Arabidopsis thaliana: one gene and its partner. The protein of the gene in region 1 interacts with the protein of each later gene in a pairwise test. Each region holds a gene or a part of one and is shown on either strand. Other genes may lie near its edges.

Region 1 (7,410 bases):
TTAAGTTATTTGCATAGATTTTCGAGGTCATATTGGCCTTGATTTGCTTTATATGTCACTAAATATGAATATGAATAGTTTGCGATCAGCAATATGATTACACTCAAGAACTTTTTTCCTATATGTGGCCTATTTCAAAAGAAAAAGAAATACCTTATTATTGCACAGATTAGAATCTTAATTATTATAAAATCCAGATCGAACATAAGTTGAAAACATTTTGATTAAATAATCAGAAAGCTCCAAAAGCAAGATACCTATTATTCGGATCTCCATATGTTAGGCTGTCTTTATAAACTTTTACTTTCTTATTTTATTATAACACCAAATAATTATTTTCGCCCAAAACCGATAACGAACGCATAGAAAAGGTTTTAATTGATTAAATTAGTAATTGATAGAAATGGTCATCATTCTTAATTATTAAAGAACCCTCATGTTTCCATCAAAATGTTTAGGATACAATAACTAAAACTCACAAAATGGTTGTCAGTGATTAGTTTCATCATCTCGTTTCGGGATCGAAAAAATGATTTCTACTGTTTAACAAAAATAAATGATTTCTACTGAATGCTTATAAGTTATAATCATTTTGCAAGTTGATACGGTAGTATTTCGATACCAGTGTAACAGTACGGTATTAAAAGAGAAAAAGAAAAAAGAATCTGCAAATATTTTGATTGAACGAATGAATGAAATGCAAAATGTTTCACTTTACATTTTCGCTGTTTCGAGTGGTTTTAACTCTTCTTTTTTATAGTGGATATAATAGAACATATTTTGCGATCTTGGCCATTCCAAAAATCAGGCTATACATGAACATTTATATAAACATATTAGACATCTTTTATGAGTTCTTATAATGGAATTTATGCTCGACAAGAGACATCTAGTGATAATATAATTTTTCTAGGTTGGCTGGATTTTAAATATGTCCAAAGTCCACACCCAAATGTCACGACAAACAAAGCAACCGTGTTCCTTTCTATGTTTATTGGCTTAGTTTGTTTCATTATAGCTATGATAGTATTTATTTATTTTTAAAATTCTGATTATAAAATAGTACTAACGTGTTAATACGAGTTGGATTTTGCTGAGTGTTCGCATAATAGGTTAAGATTAAGAATTTCATCAAAACCGGATCGGATGCAGAACCCCATATATCACTACCAAAAAAAGAATTTTATATCATTTATTTTGAATATTTGTATTACTTATGTCATATAATATATTATCGATGCAATATATAGTTGAATATCATTTCATGGCGGGCGTCAATAGAAGAGATGGAGCTCACTTCGATAAGATAATGTATCTCAAGAATTTAAGAAGGAAAATAGTTTGGTTTGCCTCAAGTTTATTTTCTTAAATTTGTTGTCTTTAAATAATCTCTCGTTCCTTCAATTTTTAAAGCAGACGGTCTCGTTCTTTTGAAATTTTGTTCCCTCTGGATTTGGTAACCCAACTAAAAAGTTTATTCTAAAATTTTATTATTAATGTATAGGTGATAAAAGAGAAGTAATAAATTGGGCTAATTGTTTTGGCTAAAACACTTCTATATCATTTCAAGAGTTTGAATAATCAAAATTTGGAGAAAATCTAGGCCAACACAGGCAAATAAACGAAGTTCCAACATTTGGCGGTTAAGAGAATTTGTACAACCGGCTCACAATTCCTCTCTTAGATCCGATCCGATTTGTTCCGAGACCATTATATCCGGGTTTACTTCTTTTGTTTGTTAACTTCTATGAAGCTTTATTGATTTGCTTTTTTAGTCTATATGGGCACAACATGTCAGTTTATTATCCCAATGAACTCTATCGTATGAGAAGGAGACTCAATCTCAGGTGAGGTGGTATCAATTTATGAACACCAGTAGATCACAATCACAGTCACTTCTCTAGTATCTTGCTTTTAAAATGCCATTTCTACTACCAAAAAAAAAAAAACATGAACCGTATATATATATATATATAATTTCACCTTGGATCCAACCAATTCAAACCTACTTCCAAATAGATTGGATATCTGTTTTATTGGAGTGAATTGGATTAGATTTAAGATATCCCAGTTAAGCAGGTTCATGAAATAATTTAAAAGACAAAAAAAAACATAAACTTGTTCTGTAAAATTTTCTAAGAGTGTAACTCTAATTTCTTGTTATATATTTTTATATTCTTGACATATTCATATATGTAATCCTTCTGATCCAAAATTTTATTAGTAGATTCTGTATACAAACTCCTAATATATCCGATTCTTCAAAACGGATTAAGGATATTTTTAAATAAATATAAGTAAAAACATTTTATTTTTATTTTTGCAACAAGTCTATTATTGGTAGTAGTTTTAGCTGCCTGAAACTTTTTTTTTTTTTTCGTCTATAAATTGTAACTCTCGACTTGACTCCGATGTATGGAACTACAAAAGAAAAAAGAAAAACGTATTCGTAATTACTACATTACGAACCTTCCTTTAATTATATGACGGTTTCTTAAAATATGGATGGTTCAAAACAAATTCTCACTAATTATAACGATTATATTATGTCTATATTAACTGAGAGTTGCTTTGACCATCATTATATTAGAAGAATTCCTCTATCTGTAAATTCAGACATTTTTTCAATCTATATATACACTAATATTTTTCCTAAATTAGTATATGTTTATCATTTTGATCTATATAAAAATCATAAACCTTAAATTCTCTTATAGAAACTTTACAAATGTATCATAAACAATTTTAAGTTAATCAAAAAGTCATATTTGAGTAACACCAAATTTCAATTCCCTTTAGAAATTTATTAATAAAAAATAAAATATTAAAGTACAAAAACTTTTAAAATTAGTTAGCATACAACTATACAATAAAAAAAAATAAAAAAAATATCAACATCAAATTTGTGTCCCCTAGACAATGAAAGCTCAAAACTACTTAAATTCGGCTCCTTTCACCTCCACTCTCTTCTTAGCACACACACAGAGACCTTAATCCATTTCTCTCTCTCCCTCTCTCTCATTAAGAAAAAAAAAGAGAATCAGAGAAGAAATAAAAAGAAAGCAACTCAAATCTTTAACCTACAAAAACCCAGATTTGTTAACTCTCTCATTCTTCTTCTTCTTCTCAACAACATTTGATCTTTTTGATTCTCAAAGTATTCTCAAAGTAAAAGAGAAACACACTTTGTTGTCTCAACAAGCAAGCAAACAAAACCCATCTTGGGAAAATCTCATTTCTTTCCCAAGAAAATCTCATTTTTTCTGTTACAATTTTTTCCTAAGAAAATGAGAGATTTGGTGTCATGTTTCAGTGAGAACTCAATAAACGTGACACATCCCTTATCAATATCATCTTCATCATCATCATGTTCAAAATACAGTACCAACAATGTTTGTATCTCACCATCTCTCATACCATCAATACAAACCTCCATTACAAGCATCTACAGAATCACTTTATCGAAACATCTCATCATCAAAGTCACATGGTGCAATCCACACAACAACAATGGCTTAAGCATCTCTGTTGCATCCGCAGATCAAAACCCTTCAACAACTCTCAAACTCAACACTTCTTCTCGTTTCTTCCGTAAGAAGAAAGGTAACAAATCGGTTGATTCCGATCTCGGTAAAATCGAGGTTTTTTGGGATCTTTCTTCAGCTAAATATGATTCTAACTTGTGTGGTCCTGAACCTATCAATGGCTTCTACGTTATCGTCCTCGTTGATGGTCAAATGGGTCTTCTTCTTGGAGATTCATCTGAAGAAACTCTCCGTAAAAAAGGTTTCTCCGGCGATATCGGTTTCGATTTCTCTCTTGTTTCTCGACAAGAACATTTCACAGGGAACAATACTTTTTACTCGACTAAAGTAAGATTCGTTGAGACAGGAGATTCACATGAAATCGTCATCAGATGTAATAAAGAAACAGAGGGTCTAAAACAGAGCAATCATTACCCTGTTCTCTCTGTTTGTATTGATAAGAAGACGGTGATAAAAGTGAAGAGGCTTCAATGGAATTTCAGAGGGAATCAAACGATTTTCTTGGATGGATTGCTTGTGGATCTGATGTGGGATGTTCATGATTGGTTCTTTAGTAATCAAGGAGCTTGTGGAAGAGCTGTGTTCATGTTTAGGACAAGGAATGGTTTAGACAGCAGCAGGCTTTGGTTAGAAGAGAAGATTGTTAAGAAAGATCAACAAGACAAGCTTGACTTCTCTCTCTTCATTTACGCCTGTAAGACTTGAAAAACATTATAAAAAAAAAACTCAATTTTTTTTTGAGATTTACAAGAAAAAGGTTATTGATTGATTGATTCTGTTTTTAATATTTGAGATATTTTTATGGGGTTTTTTTTTTTTTTGAACTTACAATTTCTTCTTGGGAGGAGTATAGATTTTATTTTCTTTCTTACATTCTTTTTTTTTTTTGGTTGGAGTTGTGATTTAATATTGAGAGATTCCAAAAGATGTGAATTTCTTCATAGGAGTTGTTGTTTTATTTTTATTTTAAATTTGGTTTTCTTACAAATTCAAGAACATTGCCATATCTTAAATTGAAGTCATTTGTTGGGAAAATATTTGTCTCAATGACTCTCTTTCTTGGCAACATTATGATGTTTATTACTATGTAGGCTCATCTACAGATATACGTTTTTTTCTTTCATAAATGTTGAAGTAATTGATGATTATGGTTAAGGAAGAAGAATTGAAGAGTGTGAAATAAGATGAGAATATATTGGGGCATATGTGCACGCCTATAAAGATATGCATGGAGCCTCTTTAAAGTACAAAAGTTAAAAGGTCTAGAATCTACTCATGCTAATTTGTTTTTCCTATTAATCTAACAAAATTTGTGAATGAAGTAAAAATGTAAAATGCTATTTTTTCTTTTGGTTTTAGAATATCAGTATGTGAAAATTTAAGGCATAGTTTATTATGTTTTCAAGTTCCAACTCTAGTTAGGTTATTTTGGTTAGGAATGTATTAGGTGATTAACATCTCGATCATTCAAGGAACAATTTCTTCATGGTTTAGGTGACTACATTGTAAAGTACAAAGTTTTTTCTTTACATTTTTTGTTAAAATTGTTGTAAGAAAATATGTCTAGTAATGGCTAATTTTTAGTTAAGTTGGTTCGGTTAGGCGAGGTTTAGGTGGTGACATCCCATTCAAGCAAATATTTTTTCTAGATTGGTTGATTTGGAGAGTTTTAGGTGATGTAAGTAGTTCAAGCTTTAGTTTTAGAATTTGATTATAGTCAGTCCGAATTTATGTTTTCATATAAGTTTGAGTTTTGATAAATTGGAGTTAACTATTTAATACTATAGAAATTTAGGAGTATTAAAATGATCATTGCATGTAAATATCATACGATTAAGATTAACCATGCCTCTGTATTTAAAGGATATAAGTATTACTATAATACAATAGGATACAAAATAAAGATTCGGTCAACATAACATTACAATATAATTAAAATACTGCTTCGAGTCATTTAAAACTAATCCAGAATTTGAAAGGCTGACAAATTTACCATTGTTTACACATAATAGAAATTTGACTGTTAAACCCATATATAATGAACAAAGCTTTAAGAGAGAGAGATATCGATAGCACGTTTTCACACAACACGATATATAAATTAAAAAACCATGTATGATACAAAATGTAATATGTGCACTATGGGGTGCCTGGACATTCATTACCATTTATTCATTTAAGTCACTAACAACATTTGCATTCCATGAATAATTCAGGTTGCATATTATAAACAAATATATATCTAAACCTTAGAAATATTTCAATTGGATGTTTCATCCATATAACATTAAAGAATGTTTCACATGGTATCACTAATTGCAATTTGATCATGAATTTATAATAATTTATAAAACAAATTTGGTTCATGTCATCCCTCTCCACTTCTATTATATTTTCTCTTAACAAATCTCAAACCAGTTATATTGATAAGCCATTCAGATTTACTTAATTTCGAGCATATACTAAAACAATCATAATGCCTGTTTTACTCTTTCGAGATTTTTATATCGGCAACTTAGTCAAAACAACATAAAGAATTAATAGTTCTACCAAAGAAAACATAAAGAATTTTATAGAATGAACATGATAGCTTGGTGAAGATGTAGTAGGTTTATGGTACCATTTTCGAACTATGCTACAAAAATATTACATTGAGGTAAGGTGATCCACTATAATCCTTATCATACATCCATAGAAACTTATACCAAGTTACCTACCGATGACACCCTCATGTATTTGACCCATTACTCTTTAACAGATTATATATATCTTTCAAGAGTGTATATCTTATTTTGCCAATTTTATTCTAGTAGCTTGTTATACTCTTTGTGATATTATGAAAAGGTTTTAACTCAAATATCATGAACTTCCAAAATCTCCACATATATTTGTGTTTTTTCCCTATATTAGAGCCATTCTTAACATTTGTGACAATAATTTTCAAATAGTGATGATTAGTGAACTTCACCTTACAAATGCATTTGATTGAAGAGGAAATGTCATTAGCCATCATCGCCTTTGCACCCTCGAATGATTCAAGCTTTATGAACCAGTCTTTTGTTAGAGTAATCTGATGTGTACATTGTGAATTTGTGATACATAGTTCTATATGGAAAATCTTGTGTTATACATATCAAATTATTATGTTCTCTTTCTTGAACCCTTTCCAATCCAACATGTTCTCATTTTTACTTGAACTTATATCATTTCTATATTTTGTTTGTTATGTGTACAATCTATCTTGAAATAATCAATGGATTGGCATATTCAACAACCTCGTTTTGATGTCTTTATCCTTGTTATTATTTTTACTTTGAGAACCATATGAGTTTTTTTTTTAAATACACTCTTCATTTCTTTTTTAACTAATGTAAAATTTCTTCCAAAAAAACTTTACAATAAATGGAGCATTTGTTTAAGCGCTTTTAACATATGATTATCGAATGAAAAAATTAGAAACTAGCTTCTTTCTTGTCTTGATACAAGCCAAACCGAAATACAACCTTCGTATCTTCTATCCCATTGCTTTCGTATAGAAGATATCATGTTCCAAACTTTTGAATCTAGTCTTCATACTGTCCTAAAAGCTTTTACGTTTGAAATTAAGTTAGAAAACACAATCAAGTATTACGAGTTTTCTAAACTCAACGCAATCTTAGGTCTTGAAAAATATACTTTTAGGAATTCACTATCAACGTAGTTCAGATAGTTACAAACTAAAGAGAATACGAATTCTCTAACTTAATATATCTTCCATTAATGAAACCAAAGCTTCCCTCTCACCTAAACGTCTCTCCTAAGAAACCCAAACCTCACACTTATTAATCTCCTTAAGAATATCCTCTAGTCAAACATTCTATTTTCT
Region 2 (9,698 bases), on another chromosome or scaffold:
AAAGGTGAGATAGTAAAGATGTTATATGTTTATCAGTTTAGCTCTAATTTTTTTTGCGGGCATCCTGAGTAAGTACCAAAAACATTGCAGGGAGTACAAAGTTCTGAATTTGTTGGAATTTACGAGCAAAAGAAAGCGAATGACAGTAATTGTACGCGATGAGGAAGGGCAGATTCTTCTACTATGCAAAGGAGCTGACAGGTTAGCAATTTGTCACATTGACCACATCTAGAAGCTTATGTACAATAAATCTTTACTTTTATCAACTGTTTCTTCCTGAATTTTACAGCATCATCTTTGAGCGGTTGGCGAAGAATGGAAAGACATACTTGGGACCTACCACTAGGCATTTAACTGAATATGGAGAAGCCGGACTCCGTACACTCGCACTTGCTTACAGAAAGCTTGATGAGGATGAATATGCAGCTTGGAACTCTGAGTTTCTTAAGGCCAAAACTTCAATAGGATCTGATAGAGATGAGCTGCTTGAGACGGGAGCAGATATGATTGAGAAAGAACTTATCCTTATAGGAGCTACTGCTGTGGAGGACAAACTCCAGAAAGGGGTATGCATTGTTGCACAGACACACTAACGCCATATTTGTCTTGCTTATGTAAACTGAATTCCTTTTCTTTTTCATCTGACTTAGGTGCCCCAATGCATAGATAAACTTGCTCAAGCTGGGCTCAAGTTATGGGTTTTAACTGGGGACAAAATGGAAACTGCAATCAACATTGGGTTAGAATCTCTGATTTACCTTGAACATAAACTAGAAAGTATATCTGTAATCTGCTTTTATCCAGTGATTTTTATGCACAAATTCCCTTTTATGAACTGCAGATTCGCGTGTAGTTTACTACGACAAGGCATGAGACAGATCTGCATAACATCAATGAATTCAGAAGGAGGATCCCAAGATTCAAAAAGGGTATGTCTAATGGAGTTGCATGATGCATATTGCTAAAGTATGAATTTAAAGTTCCTTCAACTAAAATTTCGAACCTCACTCCTATATTTCTACTGATGTGTTAGGTTGTGAAAGAGAACATTTTGAATCAACTCACAAAAGCTGTACAAATGGTGAAGCTTGAGAAGGATCCGCATGCTGCATTTGCTTTGATTATTGACGGGAAAACTCTAACTTATGCCTTGGAGGATGATATGAAGTATCAATTCTTGGCTTTGGCAGTGGATTGTGCATCAGTCATTTGCTGTCGAGTGTCTCCCAAGCAGAAGGCTTTGGTATGTATATATATATATATCCTTCCCTTATTCGTTTCATCGCATTCCTCCTTGACTATGCAACTCCCGAAACTTCATACAAAAAAAAGAAAATCTAAATTTATCTATTTTGCTCTTTCCCAAATTCAAGGTTGTTAGGTTGGTTAAAGAGGGAACTGGAAAAACCACATTGGCAATAGGTGATGGTGCAAATGATGTTGGGATGATTCAAGAAGCTGACATTGGTGTAGGAATTAGTGGGGTTGAAGGAATGCAGGTTCAGTTTTTCTCTCAGCACCATGCCTTTTCTGTTTTTCAAGCCATGTTTTCTGTTTCTTGACTAGCAGAAAGTTCATTGAAAATCAAACCATGTCGACATTTTTGCTGATCCTTCTTACTTTTGCAGGCTGTTATGGCTAGTGACTTTTCGATTGCCCAGTTCCGGTTTCTGGAACGATTACTCGTCGTCCACGGACACTGGTGCTACAAAAGGATAGCTCAGATGGTAATATGTAGTTCTTTTGGCCATTTTAGTTACTCTTACATTTAGTTTGTTTCTAACCTTATGTTGTTCTACATCCAGATTTGCTATTTCTTCTACAAAAACATAGCATTTGGTCTCACTCTCTTCTACTTTGAGGCTTTCACCGGGTTTTCCGGGCAATCAGTATACAATGACTACTACTTGTTGCTCTTCAATGTTGTCCTTACCTCATTGCCAGTAATCGCCCTTGGTGTCTTTGAACAGGATGTTTCTTCCGAGATCTGCTTACAGGTAAGCTTTATAAATCTCCCTTCTTGAAAAGCTATTTCGAATCTCTGCTGATCATCGACAATAATCTGTGTTTTTTTCGCTTGTGCTTGTGTAGTTCCCAGCTTTATACCAACAAGGCACAAAGAACCTCTTCTTTGATTGGTCAAGAATACTTGGATGGATGTGCAATGGCGTCTATGCATCTCTTGTCATATTCTTCCTCAACATCGGAATCATTTACTCTCAAGCTTTCAGAGACAATGGCCAAACAGCTGACATGGATGCTGTTGGCACAACCATGTTCACTTGCATAATCTGGGCAGCTAATGTTCAAATCGCGTTAACCATGTCCCATTTCACTTGGATCCAACACGTTTTGATATGGGGAAGCATCGGTATGTGGTATCTCTTTGTGGCTATCTACAGTATGATGCCTCCGAGTTATTCTGGAAACATTTACAGGATTCTTGATGAGATTCTTGCTCCTGCACCTATCTACTGGATGGCTACATTGTTGGTCACAGTGGCTGCAGTTCTTCCTTACGTTGCTCACATTGCATTCCAGAGATTCTTGAATCCATTGGATCATCATATCATCCAAGAGATCAAATACTACGGAAGAGATATTGAAGATGCGAGATTGTGGACCCGAGAGCGTACAAAAGCCCGAGAAAAGACAAAGATCGGATTCACAGCTAGAGTCGATGCGAAAATCAGGCATCTAAGGTCGAAACTGAACAAGAAACAGTCAAATCTCTCACATTTTTCAGCTCAAGACGCAATGTCACCTAGATCATTGTAGCCTTGTATAGTGTTTGTTGTTTTTCTACAGGTCCAATTCTCTGATGCATCAGACTTTGGAGACAGGTCTTGAAGCTAATTTTGTTGAGAGTTTATAATAGAGTGAGATCATGTAAAGAGTAGCCTCTGATGTTTTTTCTACTTGTTGGGTTCGAATTTTTCTTTATCTTGTACACATTATACTTAGGTTTTGTGTATACTTAGGACAGAATGCAAAAAAACATAACAAAGAATCTTCCTTCTGTGCCTCTTCTGTGCCTCTTCTGTGCCTCTAATCATTTAATTGGTCATTTATATAAATTTGTTTATACAAAATCTGTTAAGTGAATCTTGACTTTAGAAAAAAAGAGAGAAATAACTCTCAATAGCAGTGATTTGTAAAATGATTTTCATTTCAACTAGAAATAACTCTCAATTTCATTTCATAAGTTTCCACAAAGAAATATTATAGAAATTGTTGCTTTAGTAAATGGTTTCGTATCCACCAATTGGCATTTAGGTAATTAGGTAATGAAATCTCCAACTTATTTGCGTGTCTGTTACTTTCTAGTTTCTAGTGACTTTAGAGATGAAGTGGTTGGCGAATAAATTAACTTACTTTATACTAATATATTAATTTTAATTTAATTAATTATTCTGGGCCGGGTTTTGCCCAATATGGGTTCAGTACGGCCCAACAACTCCGCAATTATTATTATTTTTCCATGGAGAAAATAAAAAAAGAAAAGAATAATAAGAGAGATTTGGTTAAAATGAGAGTGTAAGCAATTCTGAGTCTATCCCTTCCCTTTTGGGATATTTTCGCCGCGTGGATTGATATGACGACTCTCTTTCGCCGGAAGTCAATCGGAATCCGCGACAACTTCTTCCTTCAATCCCTTTGATTTTTTTTTGGCTCTACTTATCCCAAACCCTTCAAATCTTCAGGTCCAATCTCTTCTTCTATTTGTTTTTTAATTAAAAAAATCCGGCGAAAGGTGAAGCTCTTGGATTCGAGTGGTGGCTAGTAATCGATTTCGGTAGTTTAGAAGTAGTTTATAGGTTTTATCAGCTTTCGATTTGATGGAGCCGCGAGTCGGAAACAAGTTTCGGCTCGGAAGGAAGATCGGCGGTGGATCATTCGGAGAGATCTATCTTGGTATCCTCTTTATTCTGATTCACCTCTCGTTTGTGGTCTCTGTGACTGCGATGATTATATAAGTATTTGTTTTAACATGGTTTTTAGGTACCAATATCCAGACGAATGAAGAAGTGGCTATTAAACTTGTAAGTAATTCCTACTCAAAAAGTGGAACTTTATCATTTTCAGTGTTTAATTGAAGTACATAGAATTTAGTATTGCAATGTAAAGTCTGTACGTATATCTTCATTAAATAAAAGATTGAATTTTCTCGGAAAGTGGGAAGAAAGCTTTGATTGTTGTGAGTTGTGACTTATGTGTAGAAAGACTTCTGTTTATTGCTTGGTCTTTCTTAGCTTGTAGCTTCTCCTTTTACATGTTAAAATCGATCGGAATGAAAACGTTGGTGTACTGTGTTTAGACGAAAAAGGAATAGAATTTTATTTAACAGGCTACACACTGCTTTTTCTACTCTGATCATGCGATTGTTGCAATTTAGTTGAGTTCTTCCTTAAGCTTCCTCTTGATTATCTATGACTGTTTTCATTCAGTATTCAACATGATCAAACCAATATTTCTATAGTTTAAATCTGGGTTCAACCTGACTTTTCCGTAAGAACTGAGATCTATTATTGATTCTTGAGCAAATAGTCTAATTAATGCTGAATCAATTCTTAGAGTCCACGACAAAACTACCTGCAACTGGTGGGACCAACCTATTGAAAATTTTGTTGTGGCCTACAACTGGAGAATTATGAGGCTGACAGCTATACATATTACTGTATTGAACATTGGTTGTTTCTTTTTTCTGTTACCTGTTTGTACTGGTTCTGACTGTTGAGTATGTTAAATCAAATCCTCATGCTTGTTTCACATTTCTTTTTTTGCTCTGAAATGTAACAGATTTATCGTAGTTTGGCTACTGTGTTTGTTGTATATGTTCTGACGGCATCTTTTCTTCTTGTTTCAGGAAAATGTGAAAACTAAGCATCCTCAGTTGCTGTATGAATCAAAGTTGTACAAAGTATTACAAGGAGGAAGTATGGATCTAGTTCTGTACTTGTTTACATTTGTAGTTTGTGATGTCTTTTTTCTTATCCAAGAGGGGTTGCTTTCCTTTCCTTGATTTCTAGCTGGCGTTCCAAACGTTAAATGGTATGGTGTTGAAGGGGACTATAATGTCCTCGTGATAGACTTGTTGGGGCCTAGCCTTGAAGATCTATTCAATTTCTGTAGTAGGAAACTCTCACTAAAGACTGTACTAATGCTTGCAGATCAAATGGTAGGATCCCGTCTATAGCCTGAAAATTGTGTTCTCATGTTGAATAAACGTTTAGGATATCTTTGTTCCTCTTTCAGATCAATCGCATTGAGTTTGTACATCAGAAGTCATTTCTACATCGGGACATCAAGCCTGACAACTTTCTGATGGGTCTTGGAAGGCGTGCAAATCAGGTAGCTGTTGAAAAGGGCTGTTAGTAAAATTTGTTTATTCTCCAGAATTATTTGTTCAACGATTTGTTGACTGAATACAGGTATACGTCATCGACTTTGGTCTGGCAAAGAAGTACAGAGACTCAAATCATCAGCATATTCCATATAGGTTGGTTATAGCCCTATGATTTTCTTTGGGTCTGTTATTTATTTACGCCTATGTAGACTTTTTAAAAAAAAAAATCTTTTACTAGCTTGTGTGACTGTTGTCTAACTTAAAATTCTTCTATGTAACACATCCCTGTAAAAGGGTGGAGTCATCTTTATCCTCAGGATATATGGCTATTCAGGATAACTGTCGTTTTAGTATTGACTCAGGATATATAGCTTATTTCCCCTTTTTTTACGAAGATGCATTAGTATATGAGAAAATCATTTTAATGTATTGCTAGGAAGTATGATTGCAGTATATGATGTTTCTTCATATCAATTATAATTCTAATATTTTGTGTATCACAGGGAAAACAAAAACTTGACTGGAACTGCTAGATACGCTAGCATGAACACTCACCTTGGCATTGGTAATACCAGTTCATTTAGTTTCTAACTTTCTAATTATTTTAAAGAACGTAATTCTGGATAGGTAATTGCTATTTTATTACAGAACAAAGTCGTAGAGATGATTTGGAGTCACTTGGATTCGTTCTCATGTACTTCTTAAAAGGAAGGTATGTACCTCTCTTCCGTACCTGTTGGCATGTTGCTATTGGTTCTTTTTCGGCGGCATTTGGCTTACTTATCCAATGTAATGCAGTCTTCCTTGGCAAGGACTGAAAGCTGGCAATAAGAAGCAAAAGTATGAGAAAATCAGTGAAAAGAAAGTATCGACATCTATTGAGGTAAAATAATGTTCTGATACCTGTGTTGGTGACACCTATGGTTTAATACTGATTAAATATTCTATTCTTCTTTTAGGCTTTATGCCGAGGTTATCCATCTGAATTTGCATCTTATTTCCATTATTGCCGTTCTCTGAGATTTGACGACAAGCCAGACTATGCCTACCTGAAACGGCTTTTCCGCGACCTGTTTATTCGTGAAGGTTTGGTCCCCTCAATCACTTATGTTAATTCTAGTCTTGTGAAGCAAATATAACTTGGACCAGTTAATCAACATGTTAATTTGAGTTTGCGTCATCTGCTTATATTAGGCTTCCAGTTTGATTATGTATTTGATTGGACGATCTTGAAGTATCAGCAATCACAGATTTCTACTCCTCCTCCTCGTCATCATGTAAGAATCAGTTTTTCTTTTCCGAATGTCATCGTCCTACTTAAACTCTGCTGAATATGTACCTTTCTTCCAGGGTCCTGTAGTTGGGCCAAGCTCTGCCCTCCCCCCTGCCATTACCAGTGCTGAGAGGCCATCAGGTAGTTCCATCTATTTCGAGTAGTTTTTTTCCAAATTTCATTACGCATTTGGCTATGTTACTCTGTTCTATAGGGGCATGGTTTTCACCCATCTGATGTGTTCTTTGCAGGTGGCGACGAAGCTAGACCTTCTGGCTGGTCATCAGGAATCCCTAGACGAAATTCTGGACAAATTTTTAACTCAGGAAGCTTAGCTAAACAAAAAGCACCAGTTTCAAGTGATCCTGCAATATCTAAAGATGTAGTGGTGAGTACATAAAATTACCCCCCATGTTACAGGTATCCAATTCTTTAGCTGCTGATTTGAAGAAATAAACATAAGGTTCTGTATTGCTTGTATACACAAGGATTGGCAGCTGAATTTTAGTTTCTTGGATTCTTGTTCTTTGTATTAATGGTAACTGAGCTGTTTGTTTTTCTTGTGACAGTTATCAAGCTCTAGCTTTCTCCGCGCAACTGGGTCATCAAGACGTGCTGCTGTATCCAGTAGTCGCGAAGCTGCAGTTCTGGGAACTGATTCTGAGCCATCAAACCCTCAAATCGTTGAAGCTGGATCAGGCTCCAATTCAAAGATCCCTGTTAGTCGAAACTCACCTATCGTCTCATCTGAGATCAACAAGCTATCATCACCTTCAAGGGCGACTACTTCAGTCATGAAGAACTATGAGGCTAATCTTAAAGGGATCGAGAGTCTGCATTTTTAGTCGTTGGGGCCAGTGAATGATCTTGAAACCCCGGGACAAGTGTAAATTAAAAGACAAAGATGACCTCTCTTAGGCCCTCCTCATGTTTTACGTGCATTTGTGTTTACAGGGAGGGAGACTTGTGCCTCTAAGCACACACTCTAATAACATAGATAAGGAAAAGACTCTGAAGAAGTGATTTTCAGAGAAAGACAAACTCAAAAGAGGGCGAGACTAAAAAGTCAAAAGACTTTTAACACTTTTATTCCCCATTTGGTTTTACACTGTTTATGTTGTGTTTGTCTTGTTTGGTACTGCAACAGCTAAAATCGTTTGTGCTTCAAAAAGGTTTTAAGTTCTTAGAACTATTCCTCGGGCTGCAAAAAAACGTACAAAAGAAAGAAGGTTTTATATTGAGTATCTTCTCATATGGTGTGGGTAAAAATGGTCATTTTTGTTGGTAAAAATAGTGAAATGAGAGCTATAATTCATGGACAGATGCAATAATTGTTCTGGTCTTCCTTAAAGAGGATCTGAGAGTTGCATCTTCTGGTTATGTCATACTTCATCATGTCTACGAATGAATCAATGAAGTATATTGTAAATGCTAAATCGTATTTATCGTAGCTTAAGTTGTTACAGCAATCATCATACTTAGAAGGGTACCCTACTTAGAACAAGAATAAAAACAGACAAGTTCAATGGGGGAAACAAGAGAAGAAGATTGGGAAGATTTGTGGTTGGATCACCACAAACCATAGACAGCGTTTGAACAAGTCTCCTTGAACCATTTGAAGCTTTTCTTCATAGATCCTTTCACTCTCCCTTCAACACCATACACATTATAAGAAGCCACTCTCTTCTTCCTCTGAATCTCTGCCTCACACAAACCCTTAAATCCTTTCTTCTTCACCTTATTGCTTCTCTTCGATTTATTGTTGGAGTCGTCTCTCACAATTGTTGGATTCTGGTATGCATTATAAGTTGATGTACTGTAAGATCTCATCATCACTGGTGGCTGCTGGTTTGTTGGTTCTGATTCTGATTTTTCTCCATGACTGAAGCAATGGTACTTGTTGGTGATGCTGCTACTTCTGGTCTCTTCTCTGCATGACTTAGATCTGAACATCTTCACTTGCAAACAAACCTCAAAAAAAGATTGCTCTGCTTTTTTAGGAAGAAAAAGGAGATAGTTGCTTTTGGGTTTTATCTCCAACCTCTTTCTCTTCTGCTTTTTGTCACTTGCGAGTTTTTGACATATTTATAGAATGAGACATCACCTCTATATCTTGTTCAATATTTAGTGCAGTAATCACAACCTCAATACTGTATCTATTTAGTTACTCGAAGTTTTTTTTGTTTGTATATTGTTTTAGATGAGATTTGTTTGTTACATTTAAAAAAAAAACATTACTAGCGATTAGTTATCACTGTACTTAGTACAGTTTTGCATATTTATTTTTCCTAAGAAAATTTTGTAAGATCTCATGTCCTTTGGATTTACACATGGCCGCTTCTCACTTCATGAATTCGAGGGAAATTTTTGGGGCTCGTCCCCAACCTTATGTAGTATATATTTATTGTAAATTCAAGAGTAGAAAACTAGAAAATCAACAAAAGTTCATTAATGAAACTCAAGTAGAGAAAAGTCTTTAGTCTCATAGAGTATCCTTCCTTGTAAGCCACGTTCACAAAAAGATAAATAATGCCGAAATTCTTGATTGCCAAAAAAGCAAAATCATGTAATGAGTTATGTTCGCTTTTAGCCAAGAACTATAAATCTAAGTAGTAGCCTGAAAACAAAAATCAAAGCATAGAGAAGCTGCCAAAAAAAGGGGTAAACACAGCACTTTCTCAGTAAAAAACAGAAAAAAGAAAGGCTTCAGAGAAGATCAGCAACATTGCTTGGCAACTCCTCAACGACCACATTGTAAAACCTCTGAATATCAGCCATCATTCTCTCATCCTCCGATGTCATGAAATTGATTGCTACTCCCTTTCTCCCAAACCTTCCACTTCTTCCAATACGATGAAGGTAATTCTCCGGTTGGGTTGGGAGGTCAAAGTTTATGACCAGAGAGACTTGCTGAACATCGATACCACGAGCAAGGAGGTCAGTGGTTATGAGGACACGGGAAGACCCAGAGCGGAATTCGCGCATGATGATGTCTCTTGTGTTCTGGTCCATGTCTCCGTGTGTAGCTGAAACAGTGTGGTCACGGCTTCTCATTTTGTCGGTTAGCCAATCAACCTT

What was found. The genes of interacting proteins can lie anywhere in the genome.
Region 2: the proteins of AT2G27770 (region 1) and CKL2 interact in a two-hybrid assay, tested with the Arabidopsis thaliana proteins (one large-scale study listed by BioGRID).

Annotation. Positions count from the first base shown.
Region 1 is NC_003071.7:11,829,929-11,837,338, reverse strand, and holds AT2G27770 (DUF868 family protein (DUF868)), read left to right. Parts: upstream 1-2,911; 5' UTR 2,912-3,287; coding exon 3,288-4,250; 3' UTR 4,251-4,796; downstream 4,797-7,410.
Region 2 is NC_003070.9:27,368,714-27,378,411, forward strand, and holds CKL2 (casein kinase 1-like protein 2), read left to right. Parts: upstream 1-3,483; 5' UTR 3,484-3,839; coding exon 3,840-3,915; intron 3,916-4,002; coding exon 4,003-4,043; intron 4,044-4,867; coding exon 4,868-4,937; intron 4,938-5,030; coding exon 5,031-5,179; intron 5,180-5,256; coding exon 5,257-5,352; intron 5,353-5,432; coding exon 5,433-5,500; intron 5,501-5,850; coding exon 5,851-5,912; intron 5,913-5,995; coding exon 5,996-6,059; intron 6,060-6,145; coding exon 6,146-6,230; intron 6,231-6,306; coding exon 6,307-6,433; intron 6,434-6,541; coding exon 6,542-6,624; intron 6,625-6,697; coding exon 6,698-6,761; intron 6,762-6,871; coding exon 6,872-7,008; intron 7,009-7,189; coding exon 7,190-7,465; 3' UTR 7,466-8,017; downstream 8,018-9,698. Other genes in the region: AT1G72700 (ATPase E1-E2 type family protein / haloacid dehalogenase-like hydrolase family protein), read left to right, coding at 1-4, 91-201, 290-566, 651-739, 842-929, 1,034-1,243, 1,374-1,499, 1,629-1,727 and 2 more; AT1G72720 (hypothetical protein (DUF3511)), read right to left, coding at 8,190-8,573; AT1G72730 (DEA(D/H)-box RNA helicase family protein), read right to left, coding at 9,327-9,698. UniProt on the Arabidopsis thaliana protein: Casein kinases are operationally defined by their preferential utilization of acidic proteins such as caseins as substrates. It can phosphorylate a large number of proteins.